Coturnix japonica: one gene and its partner. The protein of the gene in region 1 interacts with the protein of each later gene in a pairwise test. Links are inferred from orthologs where the notes say so. Each region holds a gene or a part of one and is shown on either strand. Other genes may lie near its edges.

The links.
Region 2: the proteins of SH2D4A (region 1) and TACC1 interact in binary tests that used the Homo sapiens proteins (3 or more experiments, as listed by UniProt). The two-hybrid records come from large-scale screens. The link is inferred for Coturnix japonica from reciprocal best matches to the Homo sapiens genes SH2D4A and TACC1.

The regions. Positions count from the first base shown.
Region 1 is NC_029519.1:30,062,910-30,066,722, forward strand, and holds part of SH2D4A (SH2 domain-containing protein 4A), read left to right. Parts: coding exon 1-37; intron 38-685; coding exon 686-845; intron 846-3,329; coding exon 3,330-3,395; intron 3,396-3,750; coding exon 3,751-3,813. UniProt on the Homo sapiens protein: Inhibits estrogen-induced cell proliferation by competing with PLCG for binding to ESR1, blocking the effect of estrogen on PLCG and repressing estrogen-induced proliferation. May play a role in T-cell development and function.
Region 2 is NC_029537.1:3,769,787-3,773,599, forward strand, and holds part of TACC1 (transforming acidic coiled-coil-containing protein 1), read left to right. Parts: intron 1-838; coding exon 839-973; intron 974-1,070; coding exon 1,071-1,147; intron 1,148-1,484; coding exon 1,485-1,528; intron 1,529-1,604; coding exon 1,605-1,765; intron 1,766-1,903; coding exon 1,904-2,010; intron 2,011-2,204; coding exon 2,205-2,325; intron 2,326-2,486; coding exon 2,487-2,555; 3' UTR 2,556-3,813. UniProt on the Homo sapiens protein: Involved in transcription regulation induced by nuclear receptors, including in T3 thyroid hormone and all-trans retinoic acid pathways. Might promote the nuclear localization of the receptors.

The DNA of each region.
Region 1 (3,813 bases):
CAAAGCGGTTAGCGAACGAGCAAGGCAAGGAGACCAGGTAAGAAGCCATCACTTGGAGAACTTGGGGGGTGGACAGGGAGGAAAAGACATTCCTAGAAAGTGGAGGCTGGACTCTTCTCCAGGGACTCTCTCCTCTGCCCTGTAAGTTTTCCTCCTTATGAGGAAGCAAGAGGACAAATCCAGCATTGCCACAGGGAAGTAACACTCATCTCTTTGTAAAACCTCTTCCCTTTGATTTAAACTTCGGGGCTGGGCTGGGTGCGGTCATCACTGTCACACTTCACTTGCAGACCAAAGGCACAGGTTTTCTGCAGGTACACAAAATACCAGCAGAGATCAGCTCCAGCTTGGGGCCTGCCCCAGCTCCTCAGTCTCCCAGGATATCCCTGCTGTGCAGTAACCTCAACATATCACAGGAAATGGTAACTGTTCCTGCAGCAGGCCACGTGTTTGGATTGCACTGATTCACCAACAGGTGCTTGCCTGCCTACAGCAGGCCAACAGTTACTCACAATGAATAACTAATTTAATTGTTCCATCTACCTGATCTGGAGATATGACAGCTGCATGCAGGCACACACTGCTCCATCACAGCACTACTTGCTCATGTGTAATTTCCTGTCAGATGTTTAGAGAGCAGAGAGTCTCTCCCTGGTATTCCTAAGAACTGTCCCTTGTGTTTCAGAGAGACGGACTGTGCTGTAACACAGTCTCTGCAACCACAGCCAGAAGTCCTGGGTGAGACAGAAGTTCAGGGAAACAATAAAAACACTGTAGAGGAACAGAAAGAAGAGGCGAGAAAAAACACTGCTGGTACAATTGGGAAAAGCCAGGAGCTCAAAAAGGTAGCTTTCCCCTTTTTTTCCATACTAATAACCATTTGCTTTGAGATCTAGGAAGTGCAGCAAATCCTGGTTGCTATAAATAGAAATCTGAGAGAGAAGCCAGCTGACTATTAAGGTTTTTCATCTGTACTTTCAGGACAAGCCATACTGCTACATCCTTCCTTAGGACCTGAAGGTCCAAGTGCTATTGTTAGCTGGGACAGATCTGTTCTGCACCACTAGACAAGTTACTCTCAATTCCTTTGCTTCCCATTCTCCATGGATATAGTGAGAATCACATCACTTTCCTTCCTTCTCTGTGGCAGATTGGACTGCTTTTCAGAGGCAAAAGAGGAAAGCCATGGCCCTCACATAACTCATCTACTTTCACAGAAGATGAGATGAATGTAATTCTGCCACTATTCTCTAAAATACGTATCCTCAAGTCCCCTCTTTTGTTGTCTATTTCTTTTTTTCTTTGTCTCCTAGAAAAGATGATAGTTGATAAACTTGACAGCACAGGACAACTCCAAATGCAGTAACTACAATGACAGCATCTCCATCTTTACTGAGGTGTTTCATTACAGAAATATTTTTCTCCATTAATAAATACATTTGTCCTGTTTAACTAGCTACAAAAAGCCATTTACAGAGAACTGAGATTAAAAAAAAAACAAACAAAAAACAACAAACAAAACAACAAAGAAATTAGCTACCAGTGCAATCAAAGTTGAACTGGAAAATCCTGCCAGTTCAATGGGAGAAGTCCAATCTCATCCTGTGAGTTTTCGTTCTGCCTTTTGCTGCTAACTTCTATGAGTGTATATTGCTCTGTTACACAACCATGCCATATTTCAGCATAAAAGCACTGTAACTAAAGGCTGAGTTTGGGCTAAATGCCTCTCCCACTGCTGCCAATATGCTGAAGGGAATTTGGTGGCTGAGTGGCTGTTTCCTTTATCAGATGGTTCTGAATCACACAAGGTTTTTCTCAGCACTGTTTGCTGAAGTTGAGCAACTATGTGGGAGATCCTTTTTTTTCCCACCCTCCCTTTTTTAAAGAAAGCTATTAGTCAATATTAACAGCAACAAAAACGAAACCCAAAATCCATCACTGAATCAGCCAACTAAAAATCCCACTACCAAAGATATAAAACCCTTACAAACTTTTGCAGATGAAAACAGAGGAGTTTTGCATATTTTACTTTCTGTTTTCCGTCACTGTATTGTAAATAAGTTATTTTCCCAGGTTTCTGATGTTTATGCTAGTCAAGGGGAGGATACAGGCTGCAGACCCAAATGTTGCATTTTGTAAAGGTGGAGAGAAGGGGAGCTAGCTTTCTCTCACCCTCCCTTGTTAAATTGCCTTTTCTGTACCTGAGGGATCTGAGCACTATGCTTCGCTGCAGGGGCCATGGGGTTTGATCTAAGAAAACAAGCTGCTTCACTCAAGTTTTAAGTTCCTAGTTCTCTGTTTAGGAAAAGGAAATTGGAAATCCAGGGTCATATTAAATATTAGCCCAACAGGTGATAGAGAAAGCAAAGCATGTCCTTGGAAAGCAGTGTAGTACAGCTAACTTATTACTCACTGTGCTGTGGGAGGCAGTTTGGGTCAAATAGGGTGGTGGGTGGATGTTTGCTCAAAGACAAGCCTCACCTTTTCCTAAAAGACAGGTCTCAGCTGCCAGCATAGCCAGACTGGTTTTAGGAAAGAGAAAACATGAGGCATGCAGCTAGTTGGGTCAGTCTGACAGGCAGTGGTTTGCAGCAGTCAGCCACAGTAACAAAAGAGAAAAAGCAGCTGAAGCACTAGATGGCAGGTTCTGCTAGGGCTTGATTTATGGAGATGGAAAGAAGGCAAGCTTCCCTTCTTTCTGCTCCCTGGGACCACTTGTGAGTATCACTTACCTAATCTAGGCAGACTTAGGACAATTCCTGACACCCCTGACTCTTTTCCCGGTGGTATATTTGATTTAATGTGATGAAAAAAAAACTAACTATTTTTTTATCAGAGAAAACTGGAAAAAATTGTTAACATAGAAGTCACATTACTCCTTCTGCCTCGAACTCCTAGAGTCCAGCAACTTGCATATGCAGGAGATTAGACTGAGGTGTACCTGAAGTTGAAAGCACAAGTGAGATTCACTCTGGAAATGCTTTACTGGTGCACATCTCCAAGGGCAAAATACTCCCAAGATTCTTGTGCTCTACCTTTGGGGAGAGTGAAAAGGAAAGGGTAGCTGCTTCTTGCCATCAGCTCTGAAAATGCAGAATGTTCCTGCCTGCCTTACTGGGCTTGCCAGGGAGTGCTGTGAGAAGAGAGCAGCCTACAAAGCACGGCACTTCCATACAAAGAGCATTCCAGGCTATGGCAGCCCAGCACTACTATGTGGTACCCACAATCTCCACCTGCAGTCATGGAGATTTTTGTCAAGGACACATTCCAAAAAAGAGTAAAGTTCCAAATTCTGCATTTATTTCTCACCACTCTTTTCCTCTGCCCAGAAGGAAGCCCGGGATGTTCACCAGATGCTGGCAGACTGTCAGATGAGGAAGAGTGGCTTCTCACAGGTAAGCTGCAACCTAGGATGTTGCTGACTTTGTTTCCGACACAGACATTATCTTTAAGTCTCAGTCAGCTGTTTTCCTCTTGGCCCAGCTCTGCCCAGTACTGCCATACTCTACTAATAAGGTGTCAGAACAAAGCAGGCCAGCCTGGCAGACTGGGGAGTAATATGGGGAGATATTCCATGTTATTTCTGTTTTGCCCTTCTTTCTCTGTCATAACCCGCAGTAAAGTAAGAGGTTCTTTGAAATCAAAGGGATTCACAACTGAGAATGGAATCCCTAGTTTTTCAAAACTAGCTAAAAAGCAGGACTAAAACTAGCCTGGGACAAAGCACTGAACACATCATTTCTTTCACAGATGAAGGGAGGACACAGGAGAAATTCAAGAGAAGAGACTACAGTCCAGCTGAAGGCAATACCA
Region 2 (3,813 bases), on another chromosome or scaffold:
CTCTGCTGGGGCTGCTGAATGGTTGTGGGGCTGATGGTGATGTGTGTGTGTGGGGGGGGGGGTCTGTGCCAGCAGAGCTGCCTCTACCCAGAGCTGACAAGCAGGTGACAACGAGATTAGCAACATCAGCAACATCAGCACCTCTGAGACAGATTTAACTGCACTAAGCCCCACAAGGACACTGGGCAAAGTGAACCTTGTGTTTGGTGCTGCTGAGGCTGCCCAAGCTGTGGGGAAGGCAGAGCTGTGCAGCTGCTGTGCATGGTGCTGCAGGAGGTTGCTGAGGCTGCCTGGACCTGGGGCTGTGTCCAAAGTGGTTGCCCACAGCTCCATCATGGGTGGATCCAGGCAGGGGGAGAGGGAGAGGGAGAGGGAGAGGGAGAGGGAGAGGGAGAGGGGAGAGAAGTGCTTTTGTTTCCAAAACACTGCAGAACCAGGCTGCCTTCTCCCAGCACTTTGCTATTTATGGCCTCACAGCCCGTTTCCAAGGAGATAACTGTGAGGGGCTGCACTGCTGCAGAGACAGTGGAGGGAGGAAGAAGCTGCCTGAGCTGTGTGGTGCAGGAGTGCTTTGCTGGGGACATTCACCCACAGGACCCCCCCACCCATACCCAGCACCCACCCCCATGGTGCAGCCCTAGCTATTCTAGAGCCAAACACAGAGCAAAGCAAAGTGACATTGGATGGGAGCACAGCTCAGCTTACAGCTGGGTCTGCCCCTGCTCTGCCTCTTCTTTGGGGTGCAGGCCCAGGGGCAGTGAGGGGGTGACCCCAAACATGGGAACCAAGGAGAAAAGATGAGCAAAAGACAACACCCAGCTGGGTGATTCCCATGCAGGGCCATCCCATGCTGTGCCTGGCAGACAAACCCCCCACAGCCATCACCAGTGGCAGCAGAAGTGACAGCCCCTTGGACAGCATCTGCCTGAACGCCTCCGAGAAGGCGGCCGTGCTCACACTCATCCGGGAGGAGGTAACAGTGTGGGCTGCCCTGTCCTGCTCTGCAATGGAGGGATGGGGGTGGGCGTGATGGTGGAGCACAGCCAAGCTCTCCTTCTGCTGCTCCCCAGATAATCACAAAGGAGATCGAAGCCAATGAGTGGAAGAAGAAGTACGAGGAGAGTCGTCAGGAGGTCCTGGAGATGAGGTGGGACCCCTGCCCGGTGGGATGCTGCGCTCATGTTCCCCCTGCTTGTCTGTGGGGCCGTAATGGGATGACACAGTTCTGCTTCACTGGGGTGGGACACATCGCGAGGCATGTCTGCTTTGTGCCTGCGCTGTGTTGAGCCTGCAGTTTGTTTGTTGTGGGGATGAAATCCCATTAGCTGCGGATGGAGGGGATCTGGGAGCAGCAGCAGGGGGTGCCCAGGCTGTTGCAGCACTGGGGCCCAGGGCAGCGTGCTGGAGCAGAGCTGTGGGTGTGTGTCTGCGGGAACTGCTGCTTCCTACTCACTTTTGTTCTTTTATTTCTTTTTCTTTTGCAGGAAAATTGTGGCTGAGTATGAAAAGACCATTGCCCAGATGATAGGTGAGGTCCCAGTGCTGCGGGGCAGGGCAATGCTGTCTGTGCTCAGTCACCACATCCCTGTTTGTTCCCCTCACAGAGGATGAGCAGAGGACAAATATGACCTCCCAAAAGAACCTGCAACAGCTCACCATGGAGAAGGACCAGGCGCTGGCAGACCTCAACTCTGTGGAGAGGTCCCTATCGGATCTGTTCAGGAGATATGAAAACCTGAAGGGTGTCCTGGAAGGTTTTAAGAAGGTCCTGATCTCGGTGTCCTCCCCCATCCCTGCAGCTATGGGGGCTGTGCATTGCCCCCACCCTGTCCCATGCAGATCTGTCATCAGAGAAGCACGCTGTGCTTGGTCCCAGTGCAGATGGATATACTTTGTTTTCCAGAATGAAGAAGCCCTGAAGAAGTGTGCTCAGGACTATTTAAACCGTGTCAAGCAAGAGGAGCAGCGATACCAGGCCCTGAAGGTCCACGCGGAGGAGAAGTTGGACAAGTAAGAGCTGTGAGGTGCAGGAGGATGGGCAGCACATGCCTGGCCCTGAGTAATGAGCATTCACCTCCATGCAGCAGTAGCAAAACCACCTCTGATGCATTGCAGCGTGCAGGAGCTGGGCTCTGCTGGAACATCATGACCCAACATCCTTACCACAGAACTCCCACCCCATAACCCCATCTCTCCCCATGCAGAGCCAACGAGGAGATCGCCCAGGTGCGCACCAAGGCCAAAGCAGAGAGCGCAGCTCTGCATGCAGGGCTGAGAAAGGAGCAGATGAAGGTGGAGTCCCTGGAGAGAGCCCTGCAGCAGAAGGTAACGTCCACTGCCAGCACACTGGGGATGCTCTGTGCTTCCACTTTGGTGCTGGAGCTGTTCTCTCTGTTTTGGGGTCAGAAAGTGCTTTTGAGGATCAAGGGAGTGGGGTCATGAGGGGATGAGGAGGGATGTACCACAGGGTCCTGCTTCCTTTCCAGAACCAGGAGATCGAGGAGCTGACCAAGATCTGCGACGAGCTGATCGCGAAGCTGGGCAGGGCAGACTGAGCTCACCACCCCCAGCTCCACACCCGGCTGCTTTTCTCCTACCTTCGAGCACTTTGCCTTATTATTACCCCAGAGCGACCCTGCAGAAAGCACACGTGTGGCTGCTGCACCCCAGGTGTGAAGGTGGCCATCCCCATGTGCTGTCACTGTCCTCACGTGCTGCATGGCACAGCACCAAGGGCTGTTGTTTGGAGCACCAGGGAAGGAGCTCTGCTTGGAGCTCCTTTCCCCACTCAGCACGGCGAGGCACAGAGCAGCAGTCACTCTCTGGATCTTGCACTGCTCTCTCCAGTCCCCCTGCAGCACTGCGTAATGAGGGAAGCAAACAAAGCTGCCCTTTACAGGGAAAGGCAGATCCAGGCAGCATTTCCATGCAGGCTGCCTGCTGCTTTTGGAGGTGGTTACTCCTTAGTGAGCCCAGCAGAAGGGCTGAGGCTCCTTCCCTCACCACACACAGGCAGCCCTGAGGTGTCAGATAAGGGAAATAAATGCTGTTGGACTGTTTCCTACCTAGCCCAGCTAAAACCTTAGCAAACCTTTTTGCTGCTACCTTTTTTTGTAAAAGAAATTGAGCTGTTTTTCCTTCTATTTTCTAACCCCTGCGTTCCGCATGCAGTGCAGACATCTGTTAAAGCAGAGCCATACACCGGAGATATATTTTATTAGTTATCTATTAGAAAGGATTTATTATATAGACACAAAGCTCGGGCACACGCAGGGTCCCCACCCGGCTCCCACTGACTCAGCAAAGGGGCTGATGGCTGATGCTGTGCACCTGCAGTGTTGTGTTGAACGTTCACCTCTTTGCACAGCTGACAGAATAGAAAACCCCCTTTTTTCCCCCTCTTTCCTTTGCTGGGTTGTCACACTGCCAACCACAACCTGCTGCAGCACAGCTCCCCTCACCAGCACCGTGGTGGCTGCAGCCTGGCACCACTCTCTTCCCTTCTTCTCCTATGTATCGAGCTCCACAGCAGCCCTCCCAGCCCCAGCGTGGCTGCAGGGCACTGGTGGCAGCCAGGAGCGATGCCAGCACAGCGAGATCAAATCTTTGTGATGCTTCCTGCAGCACGGAGCTGCGTGGAAGGCAGAGCTGTACCCGCAGCAGTGATACGATGTGGCAGCATCCTCACACTGCTCTGCTCCTGCTGTCCACATGCTGCTGCCTCCACCACCCGCGTGCTGTTGCATTTCTGTGCCTCTCAGCGTGCACGTCCAGTCTGGGCAAAGATTCCTAAGGAATGATTTATTAACTATA